Anolis sagrei: one gene and its partner. The protein of the gene in region 2 purifies or fractionates together with the protein of the main gene of each other region. This does not show direct contact. Links are inferred from orthologs where the notes say so. Each region holds a gene or a part of one and is shown on either strand. Other genes may lie near its edges.

Evidence for each region. Proteins that work in one complex are often made in the same cells at the same time.
Region 1: the proteins of SNRNP70 (region 2) and SNRPD1 purify together in Homo sapiens (affinity purification with mass spectrometry; 6 studies listed by BioGRID and IntAct, counting the BioPlex papers as one, with this or other methods). This does not show direct contact. The link is inferred for Anolis sagrei from reciprocal best matches to the Homo sapiens genes SNRNP70 and SNRPD1.

The regions. Positions count from the first base shown.
Region 1 is NC_090026.1:77,913,245-77,920,895, reverse strand, and holds the start of SNRPD1 (small nuclear ribonucleoprotein Sm D1), read right to left. Parts: upstream 3,020-7,651; 5' UTR 2,840-3,019; coding exon 2,826-2,839; intron 1-2,825. UniProt on the Homo sapiens protein: Plays a role in pre-mRNA splicing as a core component of the spliceosomal U1, U2, U4 and U5 small nuclear ribonucleoproteins (snRNPs), the building blocks of the spliceosome.
Region 2 is NC_090026.1:28,579,767-28,587,407, forward strand, and holds the start of SNRNP70 (U1 small nuclear ribonucleoprotein 70 kDa), read right to left. Parts: upstream 3,012-7,641; 5' UTR 2,892-3,011; intron 1-2,891. UniProt on the Homo sapiens protein: Component of the spliceosomal U1 snRNP, which is essential for recognition of the pre-mRNA 5' splice-site and the subsequent assembly of the spliceosome. SNRNP70 binds to the loop I region of U1-snRNA.

The DNA of each region.
Region 1 (7,651 bases), about 49 Mb from region 2:
TTGTATTACATTATAATATTATCAATACATGTATATATAATGTACTATTAGCATAGCAGATTGTTGTTAATTCATTCAGTTGTTTCCGACTCTTTGTGACTTCATGGACCAGTCCATGCCAGAGCTCCCTGTTGGTCGTCACCACCCCCAGCTCCTTCAAGGTCATTCCAGTCACTTCAAGGATACCATCCATCCATCTTGCCCTTGGTTGGCCTCTCTTCCATTTTCCCCAGCATCATTGTCTTCTCTAAGCTTTCCTGTCTTTTAATTATGTAACCAAAGTACTTCATCTTTGCCTCTACTATTCTTCCCTCCAACGAGCATTCAGGCTTTATTTCCTGAAGTATGGACACCACAGTTCAAAAGCATCTATCTTCCTTCGCTCAGCCTTCCCTATGGTCCAGCTCTTCCGTAGGTGACTATGGGGAATACCATTGCTTTAACTATGCGAATCTTTGTTGCCAGTGTGATGTCTCTACTCTTCATTATTTTATCAAGATTGGTCATTGCTCTCCTCCCAAGAAGTACGCATCTCCTGATTTCCTGGCTGCAGTCTGCGTCTGCAGTAATCTTTGCATCTAGAAATACAAAGTCTGTCACTGCCTCCACGTTTTCTCCCTCTACTCCCCAGTTGTCAATCATTCTTGTTGCCATAATTTTGGTTTTTTTTGTTTAACTGCAACTCAGCTTTTGCGCTTTCTTCTTTCACCTTGATTAGAAGTCTCCTCAGCTTGTCCTTGTTTTCGGCCATCAAAGTGGTGTCGTCTGCATATCTAAGGTTGTTAATGTTTCTTCCAGCAATTTTCACCTCATTCCTCAAGCCCCGCACATCACATGATGTGTTCTGCTTAAAAGTTGAATAGGCTGGGTGAGAATATACAACCCTGCCATACGCCTTTCCCAGTCTTGAACCAGTCTGTTGTTCCATGGTCAGTTCTTACTGTTGCTACTTGATCCTTATACAGATTCCTCAGGAGAGGGATAAGGTGATTTGGTATGCCCATACCACCAAGAACTTGCCACAATTTATTATGATCCACAGAGTCAAAGGTTTTAGAATAGTCAATAAAACAGAAATACATGTTTTTCTGAAACTCCCTGCCTTTCTCGATTATAGCAGATTAGTATTATATATTATATTGCACTATATCACAACACTGCAATATTAGTCATATTACATGTAATATATAATATACAGTTATTGTATTATTACATTGTAGTATATTATACCACAATATAACTAATGCACTACGAGTACATTATACTATTAGTATTATATAATATATTGTATTATATAGTAAGCTATAGTATACATGATATAGAATATATTATAGTACAACTTTATTAATATTATATATAATACTAGCGGTCCCCTGCCATGCATTGCTGTGGCCCAGTCTGGTGATCTGGAAAATAAAGTAATGAGAAAGTGTTGGTTTCTAATATATGTAATTTCTTTATGCTTGTGGGTAAACAGTATATCTTGCTGTTTCTTTGCCAGTGTTGATGTGGAGATTGTCTGGTTTGCCTACTCTGGAACATGCAACATTTAATTGTCCTTCTTTAGGGGTCCCTTTCAAATCTATGGTACTATATCTGACATAGACATGTGTGTGTGTGAATTATATATATTTATCTACATCTATGGCTGGATGGCTCTTTGTCAGGAGGGCTTTATGTTTTCTTGCTCTGCTGAAGGGAGTTGGACTGGATGGCCTTAAGGCAGCATTTCTCAACCTGGGGGCGAATTGCGAGGGGGTGTCAGAAGGGTCACCAAAGACTACCAGAAAACACAGTATTTTCTGTTGGTTATGAGGGTTCTGTGTGGGAAGTTTGGCCCAATTTCATTGGTGGGGTTCAGAATGCTCCTTGATTGTAGGTGAACTAAAAATCCTAGTAACTACAACTCCCATATGTCAAGGTCTATTTCCCCAAAACTCCATCTGTGTTTATATTTGGGCATATTGAGTATTCGTGCCAAGTTTGGTCCAGATCCATTATTCTTTGAGTCCACAGTGCTCTCTAAATGTAGCTGAACTACAACTATGAATTGGCGAACACTGACCACAAGATGATTTTATTGCTGCTAGTATACTGTTTGATTGTTTTAATTAGTTATAACTGTTGACATTATATGGTAAATTTGTGTATTGTATATTGTACTGTATTTTGTGAATTGTTAGGCATCGAATTGTGCCTTTTGTAAGCCGCCCTGAGTCCCCCCTAGGGGGTTGAGACGGGCGGGGTAGAAACACTCCAAATAAATAAATAAATAAATAAATAAAAAACTCCAAAACCCAAGGTCAATGCTCACCAAACTCTTCTAGTGTTTTCTGTTGGTCATGGGAGAATTGTGTGCCAAGTTTGGTTCAATTCCATCTTTGGTGGGGTTCAGAATGCTCTTTGATTATAGGTGAACTATAAATCCCAGCAACTACAACTCCCAAATGACAAAATCATAATTTTTGAGTGATGGTCACTCCCTGTGTAGTGAGACGTTTCGTTGCCAAATTTGGTGCGATTTCGTTCATTCGTTCTTTTGTTTTTAAGGTACTCATTATGCACAAAGCATTTTTATATAGATAGATAATAATATGAGATTATATCAGAGTTTGGAATATGACTGAGCTATGAAGAGTGACACAATTTTGGAAGAAACAAGAAATAGAAGGAGGTGGGAAATCCCACTATTATCATCCATGCCCATTCATGCTAAATTCATGGGAAATAACTCAGTGGGGAGCCATTAGGAAAGGCCTGCAGGCCAAGAGCAAGGACCCCAGGCTTGGCCCGCGTGGCTTCTGACAAAAAGCCCGCTTCCTTACCTCACGAGCTTCATGGCGGCAAAAGTGTAGGCCGAAAATGCTTAAGCGAGTGAGGAATAAACCACCAAAAATTGAGCACGGAGACTAGGCCGCGTCCGTTACTCGCTGAGAAGAAAACGCACTCCCAACACACAGGGCGCGCGCGATGAATGAGCGGAAGCTCCGTCTCCTCTTTTCTCTTTCCGGCCAGGGAAGGAGAACGAGAAAAAGGCGGCGGGGGCTGAGAATGAGCGCCACCTGTCGGATAGGAAGGCATAATACAGTAGGGAGAATGGCTAGAGCGCCTGCGCAGAAAAGGAAACGAGAGGAAACAGTATATCTCAGACTCACCTCTATGCTGCCACATAATGCACTGTAACTATAGCACTTGAACATCAGTGAATTTAATTATTTATTCTAATAACCCTATGATTAATTATGTGGATATGTTTTAGGTTTTCAATTGTGTATTTTTTTTGTATTGTTAAGCTTTGGGTCTCTTTTTAAAAAGGTTGTATGCAGGGAGCATACAACCTCGCTGTTACGCCAACTCCACTGGCTACCGATCTGCTACCGGGCTGAATTCAAAGTGCTGGCGTTGGCCTTTAAAGCCCTAAACGGTTCCGGCCAAGCTACCTATCCGACCGCATCTCTGCCTATGAACCCACCAGGACTTTGAGATCTTCCGGGGAGACCCTGCTCTCGATCCCGCCTGCTTCTCAAGCTCAGCTGGCGGGGACGAGAGATAGGGCCTTCTCGGTGGTGGCTCCTCGGCTGTGGAACGCCCTTCCTACGGACATTAGACTAGCACCATCTCTAATGGTATTCTGCAAAAAAGTGAAGACCTGGCTGTTTGAGCAGGCGTTCGAATAATTAGTGCAATGATTGGTTAATGAACACTGGAATGGAAAAATGGATGACGAATCTGGAACATATTTTTGATGACGAGACGACAGTGAATGGGTCGTGTAATGTGTTAGGTTGTTAACTGTTTCTATACTGTAGCACTGAATTTTTGCTGTTCGTATTTGTTGTGAACCGCTGTGAGTCGCCTTCGGGCTGAGAACAGCGGTATATAAGTAAGGTAAATAAATAAATAAAATAAAAAGGACAAAAACTTTAAAAATGACAAATGCCTTCTTGGGCAAGAAGGCATTCATTCCAAAATGATTCACTATTATCCACAATTTTGCATATCCACAAAATGTCTGGGATTAGACTGTGTGGTGTCATGGTTTGAATGTTGGACTCAGACACTGTGAGATCAGGGTTTGGTCTTGGCTCTATCATGGTAACACAAGGAGGCCTCATCTACACTGCCACAGAATGTGGATTGAACTGGATTATATCAGTGTACCAGTGATTCTCAACCTGGGGGTTGGGACCCCAGGAGGGGTCACGAAGGGGGGTCAGAGGGGTCACCAAAGACCATCAGAAAACACAGTATTTTCTGTGTGGAATGTTTGGCCCAATTTTGATGGTGGGGTTCAGAATGCTCTTTGATTGTAGGTCAGCTATAAATCCCAGCAACTACAACTCCCAAATGACAAAATCACCCCCCCCCCCCAAACTCACCAGTATTCAAATTTGGGCATATAAGCTATTTGTGCCACATTTGGTCCAGTGAATGAAAATACATTCTGCATATCAGATATTTACACTGCGAGCCATAATGGTCGCATAATTACAGTTTTGAAGTAGCAACGAAAATAATGTTACGGATGGGGGTCACCACAACACGAGGAACTGTATTAAGTGGTCATGGCATTAGGAAGGTTGAGAAACACTGGTAGACTCATATATTCCAGTTCAATGAGGTTCAATCTGCATTATGAGACTACATTTACCATTATAATGCTGTTCAAATTGGATTATATGACTGTAGATAATTCAAAGCATGTAATGCCCATTATCTGCTTTGAACTGGATTATAACCGGGATTGTGGCGCAGCTAGCTGAGTGTCAGCTGCATTAAGATCACTCTGACCAAAAGGTCATGAGTTCGAAGCCAGCCCGGGTTGGAGTGGGTTTCCAACCAATTGTGTGTAGCCTGTTGTCAACCTTTGCAACCCGAAAAACAGTTGCATCTGTCAAGTAGGAAAATTAGGTACCACCTTAAAGTGTGGGGAGGCTAAATTAGCTAATTTACGAGGCCACAAAAAAGACTCCAGCAAAGCATTCCAGCAAAAAAGCATGCGGGGAATGCGGAAGTACTTCATCAGTGTCACAGATGGACGATGAAAGCGACAGCTCCCCTGGCAGCCAGAAAAAGTTAAATAGCCTCTGTCTATGTCTGTATATGTTTTATTTCTTTCTTTCTTTTGTGTACTTCTACCCCGCCCTTCTCAACCCCCGAGGGGGGACTCAGGGCGGCTTACAAAATAGTAATACAGATAAGATATAGACAGCAATTAAAAACAGTTATAACAGTTAAGAACAATCAATATATATCACAGTCAATAAAAACAATCTTATGCTCAACGTTCGCAACTCAGAGTCCATAGCTTCATTCCACATTTTCCATTCCTATCAATCGTCATTGTCCTTTATTTATCTGCCAGATTGCCCAAACGCCTGGTCCCAAATCCATGTTTTTAATTTCCTTCTAAAGGAGAGGAGGGATGACGATGATCTAATTTCCCCGGGGAGTGAATTCCATATGTAAGGGGCCACAACCGAGAAGGCCCTGCTCCTCGTCCCCGCCAATCTCACTTGTGATAAAGGCGGGGCTGAGAGCAGGGCCTCCCCGAAAGATCTTAAACTCCGAGGTGGGACGTAGAGGGAGATGCGTTTGGACAGATACGCTGGGCCGGAACCGTATAGGGCAGTGGTTCTCAACCTTCCAAATGCCGCAACCCCTTATTACAGTTCCTCATGTTGTGGTGACCCCCAACCATCAAATTATTTTGTTGCTACTTCATAATTGTAATTTTGCTACTGTTATGAATCGTAATGTAAATATCTGATCTGCAGGATGTATTTTCATTCACTGGACTAAACTTGGCACAAATACCCAATACGCCCAAATTTGACTACTGGCGGGGTTGGAGGGGTTGATTTTGTTATTTGGGAGTTGTAGTTGCGGGGATTTATAGTTCACCTACAATCAAAGTGCATTCTGGACCCCACCAAGTACAGAATTAGTCCAAATGTCTCACACAGAACTCCCATGACCAACAGAAAATACTGTTTTCTGATGGTCTTTGGCGACCCCTCTGACACCCCTTGTGACCCCCCTGGGGGTCCCGACCCCCAGGTTGAGAAACACTGGTATAGGGTTTTGTAGGTCAAAACCAGCACTTTGAATTGTGCTCAGAACTGGATCGGCAGCCAGTGGAGCTGACATAACGGGGTGGTATGCTCCCTGTATGACGCTCCGGTGAGTAATTTCGCTGCCTCCTGCTGGGCTAATTGAAGTTTCCGAACAGTCTTCAAAGGCAACCCCACGAAGAGTGTGTTGTAGTAATCTATCCGGGATGTAACAAGTGCGTGGACCACCGTGGCCAGATCCAACTTCTCAAGGTACGGGCGTAGCTGGCGCACAAGTTTTAATTGTGCAAAAGCTCTCCCGGCCACCGCTGAGACCTGGGGTTCCAGGTTCAGCGATTAGTCCAGGATCACTCCCAAGCTGCGAACCTGCGTCTTCAGGGGAGTGTAACCCCGTCTAACACAGGCTGTAACCCTATGCCCTGTTCGGCCTTACGACTGACTAGTAGGACCTCTGTCTTGTCTGGATTCAATTTCAATTTGTTAGCTCTCATCCATGTTGTAAGTCAAATTGGCATTGAATGTTTGCCATATATGTACACTGTAATCTGCCCTGAGTCCCCTGCGGGGTGAGAAGGGCGGGATATAAATGCTGTAAATAAATAAATAAATATTCCAGTTCAATGAGGTTCAATCTGCATTATGAGTCTACATTTACCATTATAATGCTGTTCAAATTGGATTATATGACTGTAGATAATTCAACGCATGTAAGGCCCATTATCTGCTTTGAACTGGATTATATATAATTGAAAATTCATATAATCCAGTTCAAAGCAGATAATGGGCATTATATCTACACTGACATATAATCCAGTTCAAAGCAGATAATCTGGATTTTATATGGCAGTGTAGAAGGATGTATTGTCGAAGTGTAGAAGGAGTTTAGGAGAAAAATCTGAGGGTTTGGATTTGAAATGTCAAATTCCTATATAACCAGCAAACTGCAAAGCTGTTTTTTATTTTCGGAGAAAAATGGTTATGACCATCCATTTTTCCAAACTGGAACTCCCAGAGAATCTACACTGATGCAACACGATTCATTAAATGAAAATATTAATTTTTCACAGAAGAAAAAAATTTAGCCGAGCCAGCCAGGAGTCGAACCTAGAATCTTCTGATCCGTAGTCAGACGCGTTATCCATTGCGCCACTGGCCCTGCCTGACGACCCCTTTTCCCCAATTGCATTCTACATTCCGCCTGCTACGTTTCTAGTGGCTGGAAACAAAACCAGGGGTGGAGTTCTGAGTGAGGCATTTCTTTTTGCCAAGCCGAGCCAATCAAAACGCTCCTTGCTCTTTCACTCCGTTCCTCGTTGGTGCAAAGAAGAGTTTTCCTTTTTTTGAAGGGGCGGAGTTACCCCAATCCATTCGGCGTCTGAGGGGATGGTTGCGGGAACTTGACGTCACAATAGCGAGACCCCGCCCACGCGCTGCTTCGCTTCCGGGATAGGGCGACATGGTTGCGAGCGTCCGTTTCAGCCAATCCCAAACGCCTTACTCAGCGCGGGCGTCGAAATGCTTTCCGCTTAGTTTTGTCCTGTGTGGGGCGCCGTCCTGAAGGCCCAAGTGGAGGCCGT
Region 2 (7,641 bases):
AGGAGGAAAGGAACTGGGAAGTAACTGGCCTTTTGCTCACAAGTTAAAACCTTTCTGTGGAATCAGGCCTTTCTCAATAACCTATAAAGGCAATGACCAGACAACTATTGGTAAGCCATATTATTATTGCTATTTCGGACTTGGCAATGTTGACACAACCAAAAGTCTCCAAATAAGGCCTCCGGAAATATATTTGTATTGTAGAATAACTGTCAAAAAAAGTGTTGTCGAAGGCTTTCATTCACAGAATCACTGGGTTGCGATGAGTTTTCTGGGCTGTATGGCCATGTTCCAGAAGCATTCTCTCCCGATGTTTTGCTCACATATATGGCAGGCACCCTCAGAGGTTGTGAGGTATATTGGAAACTAGACGAAGGCGTGCCTGATGGCACAGTGGGTCAAACCGCTAAGCTGCTGAACTTGCTGACCAAAAGGTTGGCGGTTTGAATTTGGGGAGTGGGATAAGTTAGCCCCAGCTTCTGTCAACTTAGCAGTTCAAAAACATCCAAATGTGAATAGATCAATAGGTACCATCTTGGTGGGAAGGTAACAGCGCTCCATGCAGTCATGCTGGCCACATGACCTTGGAGGTGTCTATGGACAATGGCCACATGACCTTGGAGGTGTCTATGGACATCTGGGGACCCCAGGTTGAGAACCATGTATTGTCGAAGGCTTTCATGGCCGGAATCACTGGGTTGCGGCGAGTTTTCCGGGCTGTATGGCCATGTGCCTGAAGCATTCTCTCCGGACGTTTATAGATCTGTGGAAGGTCCGGGGTGGGAGAAATAGCTCTTGGTTGCTGTATGTTTTTCAGGCTGTATGGCCATGTTCCAGAAGCATTCTCTCCTGACGTTTATAGATCCGTTGAAGGTCTGGTGTGGGAGAAATAACTCTTGGTTGCTGTACGTTTTTCAGGATGTATGGCCATGTTCCAGAAGCATTATCTCCTGAAGTTTATAGATCTGTGGAAGGGCTGGGGTGGGAGAAATAACTCTTAGTTGCTGTAAGTTTTTCGGGCTGTATGGCCATATTTATTTATCGTGTCATCAGCAACCAGACCATTGTGTTACATTTCTAACAGAACAAAACAAACAAACAGATAAAAAAACACAAATTCTGCAAACTTGGTAGTTGATTAAATGTCCTTTGACCAGTAGCTGGCCACTTGGAGTGCCTCTGGTGTTGCCGCAAGAAGGTCCTCCATTGTGCATGTGGCAGGGCTCAGGTTGCATTGCAGCAGGTGGTCAGTGGTTTGCTCTTCTCCGCACTTGCATGTCGTGGATTCCACTTTGTGGCCCCATTTCTTGAGATTGGCGCTGCATCTCGTGGTGCCAGAGCGCAGTCTGTTCAGTGCCTTCCAAGTCGCCCAGTCTTCTGTGTGCCCAGGGGGGAGTCTCTCATTTGGTATCACCCACGGATTGAGGTGCTGGGTTTGAGCCTGCCACTTTTGAACTCTCGCTTGCTGAGGTGTTCCAGCGAGTGTCTCTGTAGATTAGGGCTGGGTGGTTTCGTTCATTAATTTCGTAATTCATTATTAATTCGTATTTAAATTAGCTTACGATCCGATATTGAGCCATTTTGGAATAGTGTGAGGAGTTAAATAGATTCGAAACAATTTTTCAACTTATTTTGTAATTGTTTCGTAATTGTTTCGAAATTATTTTCGCATGCCTGGTGCAAGTTTTATAGTTGTTTGTTTTATCACACCAACAGTCAACAACAGAGGGAGAGGGAAGCTTTAGAAGTTCCCCCTGTCCCATTTGGAGGTTTTTTCAGCATATTTGGAGGTTTTTTTTAGCATATTGTGCAATCGCGTCCGCCATTAACAAATCGATTCGAAATTTACGAAATTTCGTATATTTCAAAAATTTTAAAAGGAAAATTTCGGAATTCTTTAAAGAAACGAAACGTGATGGACCCCTTAAAAACGAATCGAGTTTAGAAACAAATTCTTCCGTGGTTACCCAGCCCTACTGTAGATCTAAGAAAAGTATTTCTTGATTTAAGTCGTTGATGTGCTGGCTGATACCCAAACAGCCATGTAATGGCCATGTTCCAGAAGCATTCTCTCCTGACGTTTCGCCTCCTGAGGATGCCTGTCATAGATGCAGGCAAAACGTCAGAAGAGAATGCTTCTGGAGCATGGTCATACAGCCCGAAAATTTTATAGCAACCAAGAGTTATTTCTCCCACCTTGGACCTTCCACAGATACATAAACGTCAGAGAGGAAGCTTCTGGCACATGGCCATACAGCCGGGAAAACTCACCACAACCCAGTGTCTAAAAAAGGAATGGTTTGCCCATGGAGGCTCCTTCTTTGGAAGCTTTTATGCAGAGGCTGGATGGCCATCTGTCAGGGGTGATTTGAATGCAATATTCCTGCTTCTTGGCAGGGGGTTGGACTGGATGGCCCGTGAGGTCTCTTCCAACTCTTCGATTCTATGATTCTATGCCTGTTGTAAACCCCACGCGGCCTAGGCCTCAAGCTTCAGGTCCTCATCTGCGTCACTAAAGTTAAATGTACGGCAGTGGCGCCTACCTCGCAAGGCCGCTGTAAGGAAAAAACGCTGGCCATTAATATTGCATTGGCATCCCAGCAGCCTTTGCGGAGCCCCCACGCCCCTTCTTCCCTCCTCCGCGGCAGGCCTTCCCCTGCGACTCGAGGCCAATTTCCCTCTCCGGCCTTTCCCCGGGGCCTACTTCGGCCCTTCTGCTTCAAGCCTCCCTCCAAGCCCCGCGCCCGCTCTTCCCAAGCCCCTCCCTCACTCCGGCCGAGGCGAAAGGAGCCTTCTTCCTCTCACAAAAACACAACAGAATAAATATACATATTCCCCGCCACAAAAGCACCACAACACCTTCTCCCCACAACCGACCGCGCCTCACACACCCTCGACTCTCCCCCGCGGAGGGGTCCTCGGCCGCGTTACGCTTCCTCCTCTCCTCGGCGCCTCCCGCCGCCTCAGGCTGGGGCCTACTCCACCGTCCTTCTGCGCATGCTCGGGATCCTTCCGCGCCGGGACTCGTTTCTGTTCTCTTGAAATGATTCCTCCGCCAGAGCTTTGCTGTAGGAGAAGCGGCTCTGAGGAGAAAGAGTGACGCTGCTAATATAGTTCCAGTCACAAAGCAAAAAGAGGCGGGGATTGGGTTTGAAAGAGATGAAGTCAGAGGGTCTAAAACCAAAATCCAGAGGAAGAAATGCTTCTCACACATTTGAGAGCCTTGAACTGTTATTCCTGGTTTCGTTTTAAAATATCAATAAGATAAAATATCAATAATAATAATAATGCTGGTAGATTATAACATTCATAAAGGGGTCTCTCTCAAAAATGTGCTCTTTGAAGATGAAGTACCATCTTTACATTTATTTATTTATATTTCAGATGAAGTACCCTGTCTGCTGAGACACTGGAATTAGCCCAAGAAAGGAGGAAAGCAAAAGGAAACAGGGATAAGGGGAGATATGCCCAGTTAAATGCGCAATTCTAGAGGTTAGCCAGAAGAGAGAAGGAACTATTTTTAAATAAGCAATGCATGGAACTGGAAGAAGACAACAGAATAGGAAGGACAAGAGACCTCTTCCAGAAAATTAGAAACACTAGAGGTAAATTTCAGGTAAAAAGTGGTACGATAAGAAACAAAGATGGCAGGGACCTAACAGAAGCTGAAGAGATCAAGAGAAGGTGGCGAGACTATACAGAAGATCTGTATAGGAAGGATAATAATATCGAGGATAGCTTTGACGGTGTGGTGAATGAATTAGAACCAGACATCCTGAAGAGTGAGGTTGAATGGGCCTTAAGAAGCATTGCTAACAACAAGGCAGCAGGAGACGACGGGATCCCAGCTGAACTGTTTAAAATCTTAAAAGATGATGCTGTCAAGGTGATGCATGCCATATGCCAGCAAATATGGAAAACACAAGAATGGCCATCAGACTGGAAAAAATCAACTTATATCCCCATACCAAAAAAGGGAAATGCGAAAGACTGCTCAAACTTTCGTACAGTGGCCCTTATTTCTCATGCCAGTAAGGTAATGCTCAAGATCCTGCAAGGAAGACTCCAGCAAGACATGGAGCGAGAGTTGCCAGATGTTCAAGCAGGGTTTAGAAAAGGCAGAGGAACGAGAGACCAGATTGCCAATATCCGCTGGATAATGGAGAAAGGCAGGGAGTTTCAGAAAAACATCTATTTCTGCTTCATTGACTGTGTGGATCATAATAAATTGTGGGATGGGCATACCAAGCCCCCTTGTCTCTCTCCTGAGGAATCTGTACAAGGACCAAGTAGCAACAGTCAGAACTGACCACGGAACAACAGACTGGTTCAAGATTGGGAAAGGCGTACGGCAAGGCTGCATACTCTCACCCAACCTTTTTAACTTGTATGCAGAACACATCATGCGATGTGCGGGGCTGGATGAATGCAAAGCTGGGGTGAAAATTGCTGGAAGAAACATCAACAACCTCAGTATGTAGATGACACCACTCTGATGGCCGAAAGTGAGGAGGAGCTGAGGAGCCTTCTAATCAAGGTGAAAGAAGAAAGCGCAAAAGCTGGGTTGCAGCTAAACATAAAAAAAACCAAGATTATGGCAACAGGAATGATTGACAACTGGAAAATAGAAGGAGAAAATGTGGAGGCCGTGACAGACTTTGTATTTCTAGGTGCAAAGATTACTGCAGATGCAGACTGTGGCCAGGAAATCAGAAGACGCTTACTTCTTGGGAGGAGAGCAATGTCCAATCTCGATAAAATAGTAAAGAGTAGAGACATCACACTGGCAACATAGATCCGCATAGTCAAAGCCATGGTATTCCCTGTAGTAACCTACGGATGTGAGAGCTGGACCTTAGGAAAGGCTGAGCGAAGGAAGATAGATGCTTTTGAGCTGTGGTGTTGGAGGAAAGTTCTGAGAGTGCCTTGGACTGCGAGAAGATCCAACCAGTTCATCCTCCAGAAAATGAAGCCCGACTGCTCACTGGAGGGAAAGATACTAGAGACAAAGTTGAAGTGCTTTGGCCACATCATGAGGAGACAGGAAAGCCTAGAGAAGACAATCATGCTGGGGAAAGTGGAAGGTAAAAGAAAGAGCAGCCGACCAAGGGCAAGATGGATGGATGGTATCCTTTTATAATAGTTTTTTTTATTAAGATTTTAAGAATAACATCGAAAGAGGGAGAATATTAAAAAAGATGATAGGAAAGTAGGAAAAAAAGTAAGAAGTACATCCCCCTACCCCCAAGTCCACCAGAAAAATACAAAAATATAAAAGACACAAAAAAATGAAAGAAAAAAAAGAAAAAAAAGAAGATAAAAATTGACTTCCATCTCTCCATCAGGTGTTGTGTCCTCAATGATTTTTCCATTATATCCACTTCATAATGTTCCTCTTATTTATTTATTTCCTTTTCGTAGTTTTCATATAGAGTCCAATCTGTCCTCTTTATCGGGTTCCCGGTATTCTTTTTCAAGAAAAAAAAAGTTAATTCGTCAATTTCTCTTATTTCTCTTAATTTCCCTAACCACTCTTCAGTGGTAGGGATATCTTCCTGTTTCCAAAACTTCGCCAATAATATTCTCGCTGCTGTTGTAGCATAGGTAAATAGTCTATCTTCGTATCCTTGAAGTGACTGGACTGACCTTGAAGGAGCTGGGGGTGGTGACGGCCGACAGGAAGCTCTGGCGTGGGCTGGTCCATGAGGTCACGAAGCGTCGGAGATGACTGAACGAATGAACAACACCATCTTTATATTTATTTAATTATATTTATATTTAAGATGAAGTACCATCTTTATATTTATTTATATTTAAGATGAAGTACCACCTTTATAATTATTTATTTATATTTAAGATGAAGTACCATCTTTATATTTATTTAATTAATTATATTTATATTTAAGATAAAGTACCATCTTTATATTTATAAATATATTTATATTTAAGCTGAGTCCTTCTGGATTCTTCACTTACGTTTGAGGCTCAGGCGTCGGTGGTGGCCGGGAGGGCCTTTGCACAATTAAGACTTGTGCGTCAACTGCGACCGTACCTTGGGAAGGCGGATCTGGCCAAGGTGGTCCACGCCTTAGTCACCTCTAGACTGGATTACTGCAATGCACTCTATGTGGGGCTGCCCTTGAAAATGGCCCGGAAATTTCAGATGATCCAATGGGCGGCAGCCAGGTTGTTAACTGGGGCTCCTTACAGAGAGCAGTCATCCCTCCTGTTCAGGGAGCTCCACTGGTTGCCATTAATCTACCGGACCCAATTCAAGGTGCAGGTTCTTACTTATAAAGCCCTGAACGGTTTGGGACCCACCTACCTATGTGATCGCATCTCTGTATACGAACCCACATGATCCCTTCGATCTTCCGGAGAGGCCCTGCTCTCGATCCCACCAGCATCACAGGCATGTTTGGTGGGGACGAGGGAGAGGGCCTTTTTGGTGGTGGTCCCTTGACTCTGGAACTCACTCCCTAAAGACATCAGACAGGCCCCAACCCTGGCAGTCTTCAGGAGGAGCTTGAAGACGTGGCTGTTCCAGTGTGCCTTCCCGGTATAATGAATCCCATAGCACTTTGTCCTCCAAAGCACTTTATATTTCCCTGAGTCTGCTTGTATGCCCTCCACAAACACTAATATCACCTTTCGTTCATGGCCCAGCATTATTTCCAATTTTAACTCTACATTTGGCCTTCCCGCTGTTTTAATGATGTGTTGCTTTTTTGATAATGTTGTGTACTTTATTGTCTATGTTTTTAATTGCTTGTATTGATGTTTTATTGCTTTTGTTGTGTTTGGGCTCGGCCTCATGTAAGCCACACCGAGTCCCTTGGGGAGAAAGTTAATAAATAATAAATAAATAAATAAATAATTTAAGTAATTACTTTTACATTTAAGATGAAGTACCATCTTTATATTTATAAATATATTTATATTGAATGGTTGTCTTAAAAAGGTATGGGCAAACTTGGGCCTTCCTCCTGGTGTTTTGGACTCCAACTCCCACCATTCCTAACAGCATCAGTCCCTTTCCTTTTTCCCCTCAGCCGCTTAAGACCACTACTTTCAAAGTGAAGACTACACTATTAAACAGGAACTGACACTTTCAAGCCAGGAACAGAACTTTGTCATTATTATTGTCATTCAGAGGCTGCATGGCCATCTGGCCAGACAGGTTTGGTCGTGTACTAGTGCCTGGGAATAACAGGCACAAGTGTATAACCCGAAAACAAACCAACATAAAAAATCCCATATTTTCCAGGTGTATGGACATACAGAGATACGAATATCCTCATTTTCCGAACAGAGCTGGGATATTCCTGCAACTGAAAATATTTTGTTTTTAGTACTTTGTAGTGATGCCTCCCATGTTTTCAGGGGATATTGATAAAGGTACTGTGTGACTGGGTGCTGGGTTATATGGCTGTGTGGAATTGTGGGAGTTGTAGTTTTACCCAGTCTTTAGTCTTCTCTGTCAAAGAATGCCGTTGTCACACCAAACTACAAAACCCATGATTCCATAGCACTGAGCCATGGCAATTAAATTGGTCTCAAATGGCATTACTTTTACAAATTTGATGTACTCCCAGTTTACAGTTAGCTTTAGTAGTACAAAACAGCCCACATACCATATAT